3 linked regions of the Arabidopsis thaliana genome follow. Each later gene encodes a partner of the first gene's protein in a complex. Each region holds a gene or a part of one and is shown in the gene's direction. Other genes may lie near its edges. The genes, in order: MAD1, BUBR1 and AT2G20635.

Region 1 (7,784 bases):
AAATATTAAATTGTTTTACGAACTTATTTGTTTATAATTTGGTAACAGATAGATAATTGAATATTCAGTATATTTTGCTTCAGTTTAGGAAATCTTTAATGACCCGTCTTTAAATCCAATAAGCCCTATAATTAAGAGATGAATATTGTCGTTAAATGATTTTGGTAATCTTAATGATGTCATTAAAAGATTTTGTTTTTGATTAAATTTTTCTAATGGCATTGTCATGTAATTAATTACAAAAATTAAGGTTACATTTAAAATGTACTTCCCAAATAATATAGTAGGACGATATGCACTTTTATCCAAATCCACCAAAAAAGTCTTGCAAATATACTATAGAGATAAGAAACGATAGTCGGTTTTGATAGGTATATGATTAGCAAATATATTAGTTCGCTTAAATTAGTTAAAGAATACAAATTGAAAAGGTATATTACACTTTATTCGAATATAGTATCAAAACTTATATAGAGATTTGATAAATTTTTAATTGTTGAATACTTTTTTTTTGTGCTAATTTTATGTGATTAAGATTTAGTTGATTTCGTATATAAAATATTAAATTGTTTTACGAACTTATTTGTTTATAATTTGGTAACAGATAGATATTTGAATATTCAGTATATTTTGCTTCAGTTTAGGAAATCTTTGATGAGTTGTCTTTAGATCCAATAAGCCCTGTAATCTAGATATTAACTTGCAGTATACCGCAGGTAGGCTTATATTTTAGTTCAACTAAAAACTTTTATTGTAAAGATGATTTAAAAATATATGATATTATTTTATTTGATTTTAAATGTATAGTAAACTGTGAGTTGTATATATTTTTTGATATTATCTATATTGTTTAGTGTTTAAGATTATACACTTGTAGTTTGATTGTTAATTTAAGAGTTTCACCTGTAGTATACCATCTTGTATTAATATCGATCTAATCCCGTCAATTCTAGGATTTTCCAGCTTGTATTAAAAATTGAATCACATCTAATATGTTATTAATTATTGTAGTATATAAGATTATAAATTTTCAATATAATATGTATGAAATTGAATATAAATATTTCAAATTATGACATGTTACTCAGTAGAAAGTTTTCTTAAATCTATTTTTCACCCGTTATAATATTTTTTCATGTATTGAACAGTTTATATTCGTTTTTAAAAATTCAAATTATGGCATATGCGAAAAAACTCTAATTATTTTTCTATAATGATGATATTATTTTTCGGCAAAAATAGAATCATATAAAGATGAGAAGTAAACTATAATAATTAATAAAAAATTAATATGATAATTTAGATATCAAATCTAATTTGTTGATTTTAATTGGTTACTTTTTTGGGAATTAATAATGTATTTTGTTTTTCTAATTAAATTAAATTAATTAAAATTTAGATATCAAATCTTATATGTTGATTTTGATTGGTTATTATTTTTGGAAATTAATAATGTATTTCGTTTTTAATTAAATTTAATTAATTAAATTAGTATTTGACTTTTTAATCCTCAAAGAGATAAATTAATTTACTCTTTAAAATTTTATTTCTAATGACATACCTATGTAATTACTTACAAAAATTAAAGTTATATTTAAAATGTACTTCCCAAATAATATAGTAGGATGAATCTAATAACCCAAAATTTATAAAGATTTAAATTATAATCAACAGTTTGATCATCTTGTTCATACAAAATTTCGTATAAGACATTAATTAACAAAGCAAAAAATCATATATCAAAATAGACACATATTAACAAAGGATTAATAATTTAATAGTTGTGAAAAGCCTTTCCAGTTTCTTCCACGGCCTAGCTCCTCCGTCTTTACGCTCTCTCATCAAACTCGAGAAAAAAAAGTGGCGCCTCTGCAATTTCAATTTTCAAATCCTAATAATTTTTCTCTCGCTTCCCGGAGAACGGAACCCTAATTTCTCGACGCAGACATGATTTTGAGAACTCCGCAGCCGAAGAGGCTCAGGTCCGACGCCGGAGAAAGCCCCTTCCCCACCGGCGCTACTGGTTCCGGCAATCAGCTAATCATCTACGAAGATTCTCCTCTTCCTGCTCCTGCTCCGCTACAAACTTCTCATGATCATTCGGCGGATCAACATCTTTGCACCTATCAATGCCGCCAAATGGTCACTACTTATACCTATCTATCTATATCCCCTCACGAAGATTAGCGAATCTGAGGTTTGTTCTTGTTGTTGTTAGGTTAAAGCTGATGTTCTAGATGCCTTGAGCACAGCAGAGAAACAAGTTGAGGAATCTAAAACCAAATTACAGACTCTTAATGCCAACTTCACCGAAGCAGGTGAGAGATCGTTTGTGAATTCGAAATTACAAAGGTCTTGATTCCGAATGTCTCTGCTTTAACTGTTGTTAACGAATTTGATTTTGATATTCTACAACAGATGCTGAAAGAAAGCATTTTCGAGATAAATTCTTATACTCAGAGCAAGAGCTTGCTGCTGCTAAAGCGCGTGAGAAAATGCTTCAGGAGCAGCTTCTTATGGAGATCAACAATTCTCAAGAGCGGTATACCAAAGAACTACAATCTTGCCATGAACTGGAGGTTGATCTAACTATTAAATTGACTTGAAATTTCTCGTTTTACTTGGTGTCATTGGTGCCAGTATCATTAACTGAATCCTTATAGGTAAAACTTCAAAATGAAATGAACCTTCGAAAGAAAGCGGAGTCTTCTGCTGCAACAGCTGAGGAAAAAGCTAAACTTTTGGAGGATAAACTAACTCAGCTATCTGGAAGTGTGGACAGGGAGAAGAAACGTCTCAACAATGATATTGCTCAACTGGGTAAAGAAGCAAAGCTTTCTGTGGCTAGGATTGGTGCAGATGTAAGTATCGATTAAGAAACTTGATAGCTTGACTGAAGTTTTGTTTTTGGTTTCTCATGCAATTATCGTATTTGCACCTGTTTTCCTTTGCTTTTAGCTTGAAAGGATGCAATGTAGGGCACAAAATGCTGAGACGGAATCAAATCTTTTAAGATCACAACTGGAGCATCTTAAACTGATATTTGACGAGGTAAGCTATGTTTGACGTGCATCTTAGATAATAATAACACCAGTCATAAGTCATCATTTGCTTTGGTAATTTATTTTGCTTTCTCATATGATTCTTTTTATGCAGTGTTTGCAAGAAAAGACTGAAGTAGACAAGAAGCTATCGTCATTCACTTCGGAGGCAGCATCTTCTTCAGATAACAGTGTATTGGTTAAACATCTTCAGGAAGAACTTAAACGCTATGTAAGTTTTACCAGTTCTTAGTCTACCCGAGTAATGATTTTACAAAGTTGTTACATAAGATGAATCATTTATTGAAAATGAGTATGAAAGTGGTCAGGACATTGATCATAACTCTCTGTTTTATTCACCAATAGAAGCTGTACTCGTTCTTGATTACCATGAGAAACTTTGCATTACATACCCAGAATCAATGATTTCTATTTTCTGTTGATTACTCTCATAAGCAGCAAATCACGGAGAGAGATTATGCAAGTTTTTAAACACTTGAAATTTACTCAAAACACTCGTTAAATTTTTTTTCTTAAAATGGTCGTCTTATTTACTTAGGCTATCTAAGACAATTCATAAGTAAAAGAGTTTACTTTTCAAGAAAAGTGAGGTAATATAGAATGATGTATTTTTCATGTAACACTAGTTATGCAAGTCAAATTTTAATTTGATCGTAAATTCGACTCACATACTTTTCATCATTTGAAGACATGTACTATTTGTAGATTCTATTTTCGACTTCTATACTTTCCATGTAATATCTATTTAGTTTTTGTTTTTCTTGTCGATTTTGATTCTTGATAATTGTATCAGGAAGCTGAAGTGCGAGAAGCTAGAAAGTTAAAATCACGGCATTTAGATGCGGAGTTGTTGAATGTGAACTTATTAGAAGAACAAAGCCGTAGGGAGAGGGCAGAGTCAGAGTTATCAAAATTTCATGACTTGCAGCTAAGCATGGAAAAGTTGGAGAATGAATTGTCCTCTTGGAAGTCATTGCTAAATGACATTCCTGGTGTGTCCTGTCCTGATGACATAGTTATGAGATTCTCGGTGCTACAGAAGTATGTCAACATGATCTATACAGAATTTATCTTTTCACTAGAGTCTTCTTCTGATATTGTTTCAAATAATTATGCCTGCCATGAAATATTCTGTGCGGAGAGACTGAGGTAGTTGTTACGGGGCATTTTCCTGACTTTATAGGTGAACTAGATAGTATTTATCAGAGACATCTGTAACACCACTTTGTCCAGATATGGCTTTATATTTTACAGATATTCTGGCTTGCTAGTCTAGCAGGTCTAATGTGTCTGTGAGCATCTAGAGTATTGATTTCTAGTTTACCAAGCACTCTGAGTTAACACATGTATCTATGATACTTCCTAGTGACTTGTGTTTCTGCCTTTGAAGTGAGGTGGTTCAAAGCACTATGAAGATTGGGGAAGCAAGTACCCGTATTAAACAACTGGAGGAGACACTGGAGGCTATACAACTTGGCAGACAGAATGCTGTAAGTGAGGCTGCATTAGCGAAAGAGAAATCTGAGGCTCTCAAAACAGACGTGAAGAGAATTGAAGTAATGGTAAGTTTGAAAATTGTTGCTGGTGCTCTGTAAGGGGTCACAAATGCACTTTTATTTTGCTGGCATCAATTAAAGCCTCTTAAGTTGATTTTTGATTCTCGAGAGATAAAGGATAGCATTTTCAATTGGTGACACTCAAATGCTCATCATTTTATATTCATTATTCTTGTTTATTGATTGTTTGCTTGGTTTCTCTAGGTTCACTGTCTTTGCTTGGATATATACTAGCTCAGCTCTGTATTTCATGTTGATTGTTGATCTATGCATTCATAAGAAGCTGATAGAAGTAATATAGTTAGAGACGATATTCATAGGATAATATCCCTAGTATTTTTGGATGTTCACGTTGGGTTTGTTATCAATTAGTACAGATTTAATATCTCTATATATGTGGGGAAAGTCTGTTTGTTCCTAATGAGTGTATTCAATTGTTAGATTTTGGTGCAAATTCCTTCGTATCCAAACATGAGTCTATCACGAATTTATGATGAGTTGATTTATCCATAATATAGTGTCCTTTCAGGATAAGAGATAATGTGTGTAGTATAGAATTTGTTGCAAACAACTTTTTATTTAATCATGAATCTATCACAATTCAAGGGAATTAAGTTTATAGTGTCTCATTGGAGGTAACTTTTTATAATTTTCTATCAGTTTGTTGCACTATTACTAACAGAGCTTTAATTTGTAATAAAGCTCACTTTGGTCACGGAGGAGAAAGAACAGTTGAAAGCTGTTGTTAATGAATTAAGGAAGTCAAACAGTGAAGGATCTGTGTCTGGAGCCGCAGATGGAGCCCTTATTCAGGTTCTAGAATAACACAGTTCTTATTTTGAAGATTTTCCTTCTTTTTTGTTGGAAGCATAAAGCTTATTTTGCTTATATATACAGGGGTTTGAATCTTCTCTTGCAAAGAAGGAGAACTATATTAAGGATTTAGAGCAGGATCTAAATCAACTGAAGGATGTCAATAATCGTCAACGTACTGAAATAGAACTTCTAAATGAGAAACTAGTTGATGAAGCAAGGAGGAATAAGTCGCTGGAAAGGGATAGTGATCGTCTTCGCTCTGAGATCTCTTTACTGGAGTCAAAGGTACAGATGCTAGAGATGTGTGCTTGTAAAAAAGATTGCCAAAGAAAATATTTGCTTATGGAACTTTCATCTGCCATGGTCGAAATGAATAATAAAAGTTTTTAAGGGTGAATGGCGAATTTTATGTCCTGCATCTTATGTTTTTCTTAGGTTTCATGGAAGATTTTATTATTGTAAAAGCGAATAGAAATGCTATTTAGGACCTCTAACTTCTACCCTAGAGTTTGATCTGAACAGTAACATATATTTGGCAGCTGGGTCATGGTGATTATTCTGCCGCAAATACAAGGGTTTTGCGCATGGTGAATACTCTTGGTGTTGAAAACGAGGCAAAACAAACAATAGAGGCTTTACAAGCTGAGTTACAGAAGACAAAAGAAAGACTTCAAGCTGTTGAAGAATTAAAGAGCCAGTCTGGTAAATTTCTGATTGTCGACCTTTCCTGTTTTTGATACTGAGTTTGCTACAAGTCTACCATTCAATTTTACTCTCACCACAAAATTCACTGGAGAAGCATACCTTAATTTCTCTGTGACCCTATTCTCTACATCATATTCTATGTTTCCGAGAATAAAAGGGAGGGCCAAAATCTTTCTGTTGATCTGCCTCCGGAGGACTTGAGAAGAAATATTGTAGTGTTTCAAAAATGTTATTCTTATTTACTAAATATGCTTTACTGTAAATTCTTTTTCATGAATATTCAGGAGATGCTGGGAAGCTAGTTGACTCTCATATAACTGGAAAGATTGCTCAACTAAAAGAGCAAAATGCTACGCTTGAAAAACGTGAAGAGAGGTTTGTTACTGATAAATGTTTAACATGTCCTTTGTGCAAATATGACCTTGATTTCCCATACTAAAACATATGTGGAGCCTATGAATTATGAAACAGGTACAAAACTGTTTTTGCTGATAGAATTTCCGTGTTTAGAAGGGCTTGTTGTGAGCTTTTTGGTTATAAGGTATGCCACTTGCTCATAATTATGTCGTAGCACTCAAATTTTATTCTTTAGCATTACAATGGTTCCCTGAAGGCAATGATTCTGGATATTTCAGTTTTCTGAATGTTGACTATCACATTGTAAAATGTAATGTTCGTACTTTTGTCCATTTTTTACGGTCTATGAACTGCGCGTTTCTGTTGCAAAGAGGGATTCAGCTATTGCTATCTATAGTTTTCCTTACCTTCCGTTATTCGTGTAGATAGATGATCAAAGAGTCTTATTCATCTACAGAACTTGTAAACTTGTGAATTCCTTTTGAAAACTCTGGCAGATTGTAATGGACGAACATCAGCGTCCCAATGGAATCCCAGTGACTCGGTTTACTCTCCAGTCTATATATGCTCAAAGTGATGATGAAAAACTCGAGTTTGAATACGAGTCAGGAAACACCAGTATTCTAGTAAGTGATTCTTGTAAATTGTATAACTTTGATATGCTGCATTTGAATCAGTTAATCAACTGATACTGATTTAATTCCTTCAGAACAATGAGTATGCCTCTCAGGGCGACATAGCGAAGCAGGTAAAGTACAGACATAGTTTTCTTCCTTCATAAGCGCAGTGTTCTCAGTGAAGTGTAAAAACTCATTCTGTGTGTTTCTTGCAGATAGAAATATTCATCAGGAAATTCAACTCGATTCCAGCTTTTACAGCCAACTTAACGATGGAATCATTCAACCGTCGGACGCTATATTGAGAGCACTGCGTCCTTATTTCCAACTCTGTGTTTTGTATATTTCTAAAGCCTGCTGAATAGAAACTGAAACTCGAAAGCCGCAGCTTAAAACACTGGCCTTATCTATGTCTACCTCTGGTTCGTTATGTCTGCTATAATTGTGGTGTCAGTAACTCTATTTTGGTATGAAAGAAACTAGTTTCGATTTACTCAGAAAGAATATCTAATGTCATTCTCTGATTATGCGTTTATTACTTTATAGTCACCAAAAACAGTAACACTTGAATATCAAGCAAACAGATTTTTATATAACCATGAATTTAAAACACAAATAATACACAGACTACCTACATGTAAAGAAGATTAGAGCAAAATTGATATCGACTT
Region 2 (4,984 bases), on another chromosome or scaffold:
ATACGGCGGCGAGTATTTCGATTCGTCGTAGATTCCAGCTGATTCTTCTAACGTAGTGAATCGTTCAAAGAGTTTGGGAGATTCGTTGTAGTAAGCGTTGAGAATGAGTTTACCTCCGGTGTTATCGGAGTTAGGGTTTGAATTGAAAGTGCAATTGACGACGACGACGGTGTAGACTCGTCCGTATCCCCAATCTGGTAGAATCTTCTGTGCTTTAGCTCGAATCGAAGTTCCATTGTTAGATATCCACTCACACTTGTACCATGGTTTTCCGTAAACGTGGATCGGTTTCGACGCGAGTCCGATAACGGAAAACGTCGTTGGACCGCCGCGGTAAGCTCCCATTAGTACGAATAACGCCGCCGCGTTTCCGAACGGTTGGAAAACGCGTTTGTTCGGATCTGAGGGAGTTGAATCGTACTTCTGAGAAGCTGCTGCAGTTGTCGTTGAGAGAGAGGTGGTGAAATTCTCCGCCGAAGTGAAGTTCGATGAGGAGAGTAAGGTGGTGGTGGTGGTGGTGGTGACGGCGGAGCAGGGACGAGCGGTGGAGATGAGGTTGTGGTAGTAAGGAGGAAGGTTCCAGACAATCATGACGAGAGAGAGAGCTAGTAATGTAGCAATTATTGGTTTCTTCTCGAAACATACTGTGGTGGTTGATAACACCGGCGGCAAAACTTCCTTCCTCATGTTTTTTTTCCCGACGACGGTGAGTAAAACGCACCGTTTCGGTTATCAATTATTTAAAAATTAAAAAAATTCAAAAGTGACGACAAGCGTCAGAGAGAAGTGACGAGAGGCTTTGCCGACACGGCGTGTAGAAATTAGAAGACTCGTGGCTGTCTCACATATGATATGAGGAGTGATGTGGTGGAGGTTATACGAGAATGGGCTTGGATCTATTATGATTTACGAAAAAGACACTGCATCTAACTTGTAAAAAGTTGGATCAAGTCTGTTTTATGTATTGCTGGCTCCCAATTGGCAGCATGGTGGGGACACATGGTCCTTTGGGCAAGTTGGCGTAACGGTGTACCTTCTTTGGTGATGATTTAGTTTCGGTTAGAGAAATCGAATGAGTTTGGGCACGGAAAGGTGAAATGTGAATAGACTCGTTAAAGAGTTTGTGAATTCCCAGCAAAAAGTAAAAAAAAAAAGTGTGTTCTAAATTCCTTTGAATGTAGACTTTGTTTTAAACATTTGAATTAAAAACATGATTTGTTCTTCCAGTTATGGAATTCTTAAACGTACGGCAAAAGGCTTTTAGTTTTAGACTTTAGTAATAACAAGCAAAATGTATATTGATTGCGAATACGATTGCATGCATTTAAAGACTTGTTTTTTTTTCCAAACTTAAACGTCAATAAAGGAGATCATGTGTGTCACATTCCCAAACTGAAGGATACCATAAATATCAATTCTTTTATTATGTTTTCTTCATTTCATTTTCTTCAATAAACTGTTACTGTTTTATTGTCGGTGGAAGTTGTTACAATGGAAAAACAGACTTTGTATACAACTTCTAATCTTGAGTACGTTTTGTTTAGGAATTCATAATTGAGCACACTAGGTTTAGCGTGTAACGCAATGTATGTGATCATCCCTTGTTGAACCGACAGACAGAGAGCATCTTGTGGTTGTGGATGAACTTTTTTTTAGCTTCCAAGTCAAAAAGTGAATTATGCTCGTAATTTATTTAAAGAAGGTAAAAAAAGAGTACATCTTCTCTTTTATCTTTTGCTTTGATTGTTATTCTCCAAAAGACCAAAACCATCTAATTTAGAAGAAAACAAAACAGTAAAAATAATTTTCTCTGGATTATTGTGTTATTTTGTTCAGCCAATTGAATTAATGAAGTGTATTCTGTCATTTCTTTTACTATTTTACTTTCGCTCATTGTCATTTTTCTTCTCTTATCGATTATTTGTAGTAGGAGTATACACAATTCGGTTTAGATGGCCACTTAATGGGTTTAAGAAATCAAATCATGGCCCATCTAAGTTAGGCCCATCAAAAGCGTCTATACGCTCCGAGTATGCGTACATCAAAGCAAAAAGTTGCGAAGCTCTCTCATTGAGTAAACTAACGGCTATATTCTCTCTGATATTCAAAATTTGCTCGAAGAAACGACGATGGCAGCCGAAACGAAGGTTCAGGTTTCAGATCCAGAGGCAGAGTTTCTTAATTCGAAGCAGGAGACTGGATACGAGTGGGAGCTTTTCAAGGAGAACGTCCGGCCATTGAAGAGAGGTCGCAATGTTGGTATTCTCAACCACGCTCTCAAATCTCACTCTGACCACCAATTGAGAAAGAATCTCATCGAGAAACGCAGGTACTGATTTCAATCTCACATCTTTGCTCTTGGGTTTTAGTCTAATCGCTCGATTCTTGTCTAATTTTGTGTTGTTTTTGTGAATTAGGAATTTGATTGAAGCCATTGATGAGTATGAAGGAGATGACCCTTTATCTCCATGGATAGAGTGAGTTCCTTTTATCATTCTTGATTGGGTTGTTGAAAAATTGAAATTTTTCTTGAACCAATCTTTATGCTGTGACCAATTTGTAAACTGAGCTTCTTAATTGGTTTCTTTGGAAGGTGTATAAAATGGGTACAAGAGGCTTTTCCACCAGGAGGAGAATGTTCAGGACTGTTAGTGATATATGAGCAATGTGTTCGTAAATTTTGGCACTCTGAACGTTACAAGGATGATCTTCGTTATCTTAAAGTCTGGTTGGAATATGTAATGATTCTATCTTTAATTAAACCCTCTAGATGATTCTTTCTTTGTTATGGAGAGAGTACTCATAGTTTTTGTGTGTGTTTTGAAGGCGGAGCATTGCGCTGATGCGGAAGTGATTTACAAGTTTTTGGAGGTCAATGAGATTGGAAAGACACATGCTGTCTACTATATAGCTTATGCTTTGCACATTGAGTTTAAGAATAAGGTCAAAACTGCTAATGAGATCTTCAATCTTGGAATCTCTAGGTAAATGAACAGATATGTAATCTTACTTTCATGTTTCGGCTCCAAGTTATTGGTCTGATTTGAAAGTGGGAACTTGTGCAGGGATGCAAAGCCAGTGGAAAAGTTGAATGACGCGTACAAGAAGTTTATGGTGAGAACGATGAGAAGGTCCAACACAGCTGATGAAGTAAAAAGTTTTGTCTCTTTGTAACACTTTATATCTATTCATTATGGACTAAGGTTTTTCCTAATCATAATTAATGTTCTACCTACCAGCAGGAACCAAAGGAGAATAATGACTTACCGTCAAGAAGCTTTGGCACTTTATTGTCCAGGGGAGATAATAGTGAGTCACATTAACTTAACTTGGAAACCACTGAAATGTTTTGGTAAGCTATCTTACATGAAAATGTTTTCTGTAGATGCAAGAAGGCAGGCGTTAGGAAGTTCTAACCCACAAGCCAAAAAGCTAAAGCCAAATCAGTAAGTAGTTTGATTGGTTCTATATTTCTCGTTGTTTTCATTATCTGCATTTTCTATCAACTCATACCTTTAAATTATTCTGCAACTCACTATGGTAAGCAACTTTGTCTTTTGCAGATCATCCAAGACACCTTTTGCTATCTACGCAGATGCAGTTTCAGACACCACATCAGGGAATCAACCAGAGTCAGACAAGTCAAGACCAGAGTTTGGTAGTTGGCTCATGCTTGGAGGCAGAGCAGAGAGGAACAAAGAAAACAATTCTTTACCTAGAAAATGGGCATCATTCAAGGTTTTCCCTCTACCCTCCTAAACAAAACTATCTCACTTGGCTCATACTATCTCTATAAATTGATCACTAACTGCATTTATATTTATTGTCACAGGTTCCTCAGAAACCCATTGTGAGAACTGTTGCAGCAGCATCTGCTTCCACCTTTGAGGTTTTTGTCGATGAAGAAGAATGTACAGAGTAAGTTTGACTAATTTTTCAGAAGTTTTCTGAACAAAACATGTTTCCACCATTAACATGATTCTGAAATGCAGAGAGGAAGAAGAAAAGAAGAAGAATGATGAAACTATCTCATCATCATCAAACGTTCTGCCCCTTAATGGCGGCCGTGAGATAAAAAAGTAAGCAAAAAAATTCCCCTAAAGATTCATTCACCAAACAAATATTATATCATGACTTGGTAGAGATCTAACAATGGTTACTTAAAAAAATGCAGAGAAACAGAGCTGCTACGACAGAACCCTTTAAGACATTTCCCACCCAACAGCTTCCTACGATGATGATATTGGACTTTCTTCTCTACACGATCTTATGGTTTGAGATTTGAGCTTTTGTCTATAAAGCTCCTTGTGTGTTTTTGCCTATTTGGATTTGTTTTTGTGATGTACTGGGATATACTATCCTACTATGTACCATGATGTGCCTTTCATGTTTTGAAATTAATGTGACTTGTCTTGTTTCAATCCTTATATGATTTGTTTCTCCTAAAGTAATCATTCTACAAAAAAAAACTTTATATCAATTTCCACTAATTAACCTAGATTACCACTTATGATTAAACTTAAGGAATCATTTTAATAATGCCCTAAATGTGGCCAAGTCATTGGTTTATATGGCAAGTGACTTTGTGATCCCAATAATTTTTTGGTCTAGTCGTCTAGGCAACTAGCGTACCTTTGTTTTAGAAAAATTCTAGAGTTTCATTGTAAATCAATGGATACGTATGGATGGGTACAAACTAGAAAAGATAATCAATCCATTGGGCATTTCTTCCATAGAAAATAAAGTGGCTTTAAACGGATGGGAGGGGGCATAAAACATAATCAAGCATTAATAGCCATTTAAATTAATGATTAAAAACGAATGATGCGATTTTGGAGATAGACTTTGAGTGGTAAACAAGGGCAAATGAAAAAAAAAACTTGGGAATTTTATTTGGTGTTAGTGGTAGGGGCATCATTTCATTTCACAATCTACCCTTTAGGGGTTTTAAGGGTTCCCTTTAATGCAAAGTATTGCATTAAGT
Region 3 (5,742 bases), on another chromosome or scaffold:
TCCAAAAATCCTTCTGAAATAAGTGAAACAACAAAAACATTTTAAGTCTTATCAGAGACATTATAGAAATCCATAAAAACAGATTCATGCATGCTTTAAACATGAGTTACCTCTTTGAGTATGTTATCAAAGAGATTGGTTTGCAAGTACTTGGCTACATCATGCCCTAAGTGACCATCAAAGATAGCAAACAAACCCAAATCATGGCCGTCTACTTTCTTGAACTCAGACACAACATAGTCCTCCATCGGATGGCCCGCTTTGCCTTTCACAAAGTCATAACCGTGTGCGATGTTCTTCCACACCTTGGTTTTACCTCTGCCTGTGTCAGATCCGCATAATCCAACCTTCAAATATTCACACCCAAACAACAAGAAATTATACTATTAGTTTCATTTTTAAAAAAAACTTTTTTACTACTCAATACATTATAATCATTTTATTCTTAAGCTAAAAACATAAGTTGACAAATAACAGCAAAATATAAGAAGAAAAAAAAAAGCAAATATGAAAATAAATGAGAAAGATAAATTATAAAATCAAGTTTGGTTTGATAAACAAAAAGAAATTCAAAGTTTAGACATTTAAAGAAAAACAAATGATTATTAGATCCACATAACCCTTTGTAAAGACTCAATTTCATGAATAAAATTCAGCTTGCAGAACAAAACAAACAAAAAAGATCTACATAATCCAACCTTTACCAATTCACACCAAAACACAATCACATTAATCCAAGTTCTGTAATTTCTTCATCAAGAGCAACATACATACATTTCATTATCACCAAATCTCTAACCAAAAAGAGAATATAGAAAATGCACAAATTACTGAAACAAATTCAGTAACACAAGCTCTAGAAGAATCAATATCATCGTTTAACATGCGAGATGCTAACTTCCTTAAAACGGCTCTACGTACAAGTTATCACAAAGAAACAAATATAGCTTAATGAGAAACAGAACAAGACATACAAGGATCAGATCACAAAATCAAGATTCTTTAGAGCCCTTGAAACGCTACTAAAGAAAAAAGAAAAAGACTAGCGTTGAGCTAAGCATACCTTCATCTTATGGAGAATCTCTCTGCCTGCCATTGTTACAAGAATTTGTTTCTCTGCCTTTGTGTCTGAAATATGAATGATTCTAAGAAAGAAAAACAGAGAGATGAGTTTATGTAATAAATATGAATGTGAGGTAATCAATCCACATGTGAACAGCCGGTGATTCTTATCATTATTGGCTACTGACTTCCTCCGCCGACGACTTTTCTTCTTTATATTTTTCTCAAGGCAAAAGTATTCCCTAAACAAATTCTCTCTATTATTATTTGCTACATTCTTTCACATTGCCGACAAAATAAAACATTACTTTTAAAATAAAAAACTGTTATTTCGTGCACATCATCTCATTCATTACATTATTGATCGGAAAAATATTTTTTTGTTATTACTTAAAATAACAAGACATTATTTTATCAGTTTTTCTAGTTACTCTGTCATGACAACATGTGCAACAAAGAAAGGAAACTTTATCTTAAAAATATTTTCAAACAAATTCGAACAAAATGACGTCGACAAAAAGAAATACGCGTGTAAAAGACAAACCACACGCAACAAAGGCGCGTTTAGCGCGTAAGACTAGAATCCGTGGACCTGAAGCGCGTGGGCCGGGATTTTCATTTGTCTTAACTGAAACAATGGGCCACATAATTAACAAAATAGGCCCATTTACACTTTTGGGTTATATAGAATATTTGCTCTGGTCCAACAAATTTTGAATTTCGAAAGTTAATTTTTTTTGAAAAGCTTCACTTCCCACTCTCTCTCTCTCTCTCTCTCTTCCTACGGCTGCGAAAATGACAATCGGTTACAGAGACGCCGCCGGAGACCCGCTCTTCCCGTGGCTTATGTAACTCATGCTTTATCCTTCCTTCTCATCTAACTAATTGTGCTATATGTGTCAAAATGGATTCTAATTTTCCGATGTTGTATTTTGGGGTTTTCACAGGGAGATTAAAAATTCGATGGAGGATCTATACGCTGGTAAAAATTCCGGATACGATCTCGATAAGCTTCTATTTGATTGTATCTCAACTTATAAGAAAGATTCTCGGTACCGAAATGACCTCAGATTCCTCAAGATCTGGTTTCTCTATGTAACTTTACTAAAACCCTCTCTCCCAACTTGTTTGAGCTTAAATTGTGCTTTTCTTTCCTCGATTGTTTGTTTGATTAGCATTCTTAGGGTTTGGGATTGTTATATTGCGAATCAACTGATGTAGATGTTACAGTTTGGGGGTTAAATTGTTGAATCTCTTCTTAGCTTGAAGGCAGGGAAGATTTTGAGAGGGTTTATAGAGAAATTGAAGAGACTGAGATATGTAAAGGGCATTCGTTGCTCTATGAATGGTATGCTATTTTTCTTGAGGTCAAAGGATTGTGGCGAAGAGCAAATTCTGTTTATCAGACTGGTCTTTCAAGGTCTCTTATCTTTCTCCTTGTTCTGTGGCTCCTTCCTTATCTTTTTCCTCTAGTTTGTGGTTTCATTTCTTATTTGTTTCTCATTGGAGAATTGTAGGAAAGCTGAACCATTTGACAGGTTAAAAGAGGCTCACTCATTGTTCTTACAAAGAATCTCTAAGAGGACCAAAGCATCTTCCCTTGAAAAGGTTTATTTTTTAATTTTAATGAGTAGCATATGGTTATTCTAATGCACTTTGATAGCTTTAGTTGAGGATTGAACGTTTTCTTTCTGGCAGGTTGGTGATGATGCTCAGGCCACTGACTTGGAGACGGGTTTTGTGAATCCATGGGAAACATCCACTGTGAACGGCTTAATTCACAAGATAAAACCACAGCTTGTGAAATATGATGTAAGGCTGATGGAAAATCATGATATTTTACATGATTTAACTTATATAGGGAGGCTTGTCCACTGAGTTTCTTTCTTTATGTTTGCATCAGGGGTACCATGTAAGCAACAAAGTTTTCCCTGGAAAGGCCAACCTGTCATCTTTGCAGAATTATTCCAGAAATAAGATCATTGAGATAGGTATACTTTTTTCATACCAATCTAGTCTGTCACCGCTACAGGATAAAGAATCCTTCTTTTTATTATAAGATGCATTTTTCAAATTAAAAGTGGCTGGGCATGTATTCATTTGTGTAAAAGAAATTGATTCCCGCTTTGTTCTCACCTGGGACAATATGTCTTCTCTGAGACTAAAATAAAAAAAGTGACCTGGATCCATTGGCTCTGTCTATTTGCTAGGTGGAAGAAAGTACCAGATGAAGGGCTGTGCTGGCCAAGGTGGTTTTGCTCAAGTGTTCAAAGCATTCATTGACAGCAATCCTGATGAAGTAGTTGCTCTAAAGGTAGATAGACCCTTAAAGTTTTTTCAAATACAGTATGATGCTAAATGCTCATATTGCATATACAAATCTCTTCACAGGTACAAAAACCACCTTTTCCTTGGGAATTCCACATGTATCGCCAACTTGATTGCAGGATCCCAGATAGCCAAGTATGCCCTTTTCCATTAATATTACCAGTTCACAGGTGTTTCACACCGTACTAATTACTCTCATGCTATGTTAGAGATCAAGTTTTGGATTGGCTCAGAGAGTGCACGTGTATTCAGACTACAGTATACTTGTCTGCGATTATTTATCACACGGGACACTCCAGGTAGGTGGTATCTTAGGACTCTCACGGACTGAATATACAAAATGCAAACATAGTTCTTTGCTTCATTTGCCTTCTTTTTGTGATTTAAGGACGTCATAAACTCGTATGTCGTTGTTGGAAAGTCCATGGAAGAAGTTTTGTGCATGTATTACACAATAGAAATGCTGAACATGCTGGAGACTTTGCACAGTGTTGGAATCATTCATGGTGATTTCAAGCCAGACAATCTGCTGATCCGATACCCTCCGTAAGTTTATTCCGCTCCAATATTGCTGATTAGATTGTAGATAAAGACTTTTTGGTCATGAAGCCATGTACTTGTATGTTAACGATCGTGGCAGAGACTGACATACCTCACGGATTACTTGCAGAGAAAACCTAACTGAGACAGGCTTTCATGAGAAAACAGGTTCTTGGAGCAAGAAGGTAAATCCCTTATACAACTACTAGTACTCTGATTTGTGTGTGTCCACAATCTGATGCAACTTTTCATTTCTACCTCAGGGTCTCTGTCTTGTTGACTGGGGTAGAGGAATAGACTTGAGCTTGTTTCCTAGAACCACCGAGTTTACAGGAGATTGTCGTACCTCAGGCTTCCGTTGCGTGGAGATGAAGGAGGATAAACCTTGGAAGTTTCAGGCAAGTCTTTAAAATCACACTGCTTCAGCAAGAATTTTTCTTTGCATGATTAGACTTTTAACCATTCGAGTCCATTGTAACATGTGTTATATATAGGTGGACACTTATGGACTATGTGTAATCGTCCACATGATGCTGCACAACGTCTACATGGAGATCGAGAAGAAGCAATCTCTGGACGGTGGCTACATTAATATGCCGAGAACTTCATTTAAAAGGTCTCAAAAGAATAATTCAACTTCATTTGCTTGTTTTGTCTCTCAAACAAAAAAAAATTATTGTTTGGATATTGAATCACTAAGTTATTTGCTCAGATACTGGAAGGTGGATCTGTGGAAAGAACTGTTCACGAAGCTGCTCAACAGAGAAACGTGTGAAGATGACACAGAGACACTGAGGAATCTGAGAAAGTCAATGGAAGAGTATATATGCTCTGATCCTAAGCTCATGAAGAAGCTTAACGAGTTACTCGCCAAACAACGCATCTCGTTATGCTCTTCGTAATCTTCACGCAGTAATTAAAAAGTCTCTGTATAGTGTTTGTGAGGAAAAAAGAAAGAGACACTTGGGAGACAATGATTGCCTCTCAAGTAACGCGTAATTTGTGGTCTACGATGATTTATTATTGAATGTATCTAACACATCTCTGGTTCCTACTTTGTATTTCGTATCACATGGTAAGTATAAGAGAGCAATCTCTCATATCATCAAGGACGAAGGAACAAAAATATGTGTAGGTTTGGTATTGTTAAAAGGTTTGACCCAAAAGTAATTTTAGTGTATGTAAATGATTGTTTATATGTTGGAGGATTTTATTGAAAGAATGGGCAATGAATATGCAGTAAAGAGATTGACTTATTACACAGTTAATCTAATGTCTACTCCTCCGACAAATTCTATCTATGCTCTGTTTTCATCTAATATCTTTCCAAGACCTGAAACCAAAGAAGAACCCAAAGATGTTTCAGTGTAAAGATCAGTTTAATAGCCAGAACCTAGAGCATGATTCAAGAAGCTGTTACCTACAATAAAATGTGAGTGCAGTTAATAGACGATTCCTAAGGAACCAAAGGTTAAGCTGGAGGAAGTGGGCGACGACATGTTGGGCACTCCATCTTTATATCCATCCATCTCTGTAAGCATCCCGAGTGGAATATATGCTCACACGGCGTTACCATGCAATCATTAATACGGTGTCTGAGATCAATCGTGGTCATGCAGATTACGCAGTCCCTGCTTCGGTTTACATTATGATCGAGTCTTCTGTAGTAGCTGTATTTCTCAGGTAGCAACTGCCAAATCAGAAGCAAACACATGAACTAAAGACAACTAAGCAATTTACTATCAATCTACAAAGTCATCAGACCAACGAACCTTTCGAGGGACAAAGCAACGAGACCCGAAATAATGCTGA

The links.
Region 2: MAD1 (region 1) and BUBR1 share a complex: the UniProt entries of both Arabidopsis thaliana proteins name them as parts of the mitotic checkpoint complex.
Region 3: MAD1 (region 1) and AT2G20635 share a complex: the UniProt entries of both Arabidopsis thaliana proteins name them as parts of the mitotic checkpoint complex.

What each region holds. Positions count from the first base shown.
Region 1 is NC_003076.8:20,280,358-20,288,141, forward strand, and holds MAD1 (mitotic checkpoint family protein), read left to right. Parts: upstream 1-1,753; 5' UTR 1,754-1,947; coding exon 1,948-2,142; intron 2,143-2,218; coding exon 2,219-2,318; intron 2,319-2,418; coding exon 2,419-2,579; intron 2,580-2,663; coding exon 2,664-2,861; intron 2,862-2,958; coding exon 2,959-3,051; intron 3,052-3,156; coding exon 3,157-3,273; intron 3,274-3,855; coding exon 3,856-4,103; intron 4,104-4,452; coding exon 4,453-4,624; intron 4,625-5,320; coding exon 5,321-5,431; intron 5,432-5,515; coding exon 5,516-5,719; intron 5,720-5,973; coding exon 5,974-6,136; intron 6,137-6,423; coding exon 6,424-6,514; intron 6,515-6,610; coding exon 6,611-6,680; intron 6,681-6,993; coding exon 6,994-7,122; intron 7,123-7,205; coding exon 7,206-7,244; intron 7,245-7,328; coding exon 7,329-7,418; 3' UTR 7,419-7,727; downstream 7,728-7,784. UniProt on the Arabidopsis thaliana protein: Required for the execution of the mitotic checkpoint which monitors the process of kinetochore-spindle attachment and delays the onset of anaphase when this process is not complete.
Region 2 is NC_003071.7:14,213,064-14,218,047, reverse strand, and holds BUBR1 (BUB1-related (BUB1: budding uninhibited by benzymidazol 1)), read left to right. Parts: upstream 1-1,993; 5' UTR 1,994-2,129; coding exon 2,130-2,329; intron 2,330-2,417; coding exon 2,418-2,477; intron 2,478-2,593; coding exon 2,594-2,738; intron 2,739-2,826; coding exon 2,827-2,984; intron 2,985-3,065; coding exon 3,066-3,150; intron 3,151-3,239; coding exon 3,240-3,309; intron 3,310-3,385; coding exon 3,386-3,446; intron 3,447-3,563; coding exon 3,564-3,738; intron 3,739-3,832; coding exon 3,833-3,918; intron 3,919-3,992; coding exon 3,993-4,079; intron 4,080-4,174; coding exon 4,175-4,238; 3' UTR 4,239-4,444; downstream 4,445-4,984. Other genes in the region: GALS1 (glycosyltransferase family protein (DUF23)), read right to left, coding at 1-687. UniProt on the Arabidopsis thaliana protein: Essential component of the mitotic checkpoint. Required for normal mitosis progression. The mitotic checkpoint delays anaphase until all chromosomes are properly attached to the mitotic spindle.
Region 3 is NC_003071.7:8,898,553-8,904,294, forward strand, and holds AT2G20635 (protein kinase and Mad3-BUB1-I domain-containing protein), read left to right. Parts: upstream 1-1,807; 5' UTR 1,808-1,857; coding exon 1,858-1,910; intron 1,911-2,009; coding exon 2,010-2,157; intron 2,158-2,324; coding exon 2,325-2,482; intron 2,483-2,579; coding exon 2,580-2,670; intron 2,671-2,760; coding exon 2,761-2,874; intron 2,875-2,965; coding exon 2,966-3,053; intron 3,054-3,272; coding exon 3,273-3,376; intron 3,377-3,453; coding exon 3,454-3,525; intron 3,526-3,599; coding exon 3,600-3,689; intron 3,690-3,778; coding exon 3,779-3,936; intron 3,937-4,060; coding exon 4,061-4,115; intron 4,116-4,193; coding exon 4,194-4,328; intron 4,329-4,424; coding exon 4,425-4,546; intron 4,547-4,642; coding exon 4,643-4,832; 3' UTR 4,833-5,146; downstream 5,147-5,742. Other genes in the region: PIA1 (PP2C induced by AVRRPM1), read right to left, coding at 1-13, 111-347, 1,064-1,096; AT2G20650 (RING/U-box superfamily protein), read right to left, coding at 5,402-5,620, 5,703-5,742. UniProt on the Arabidopsis thaliana protein: Serine/threonine-protein kinase that performs 2 crucial functions during mitosis: it is essential for spindle-assembly checkpoint signaling and for correct chromosome alignment. Has a key role in the assembly of checkpoint proteins at the kinetochore.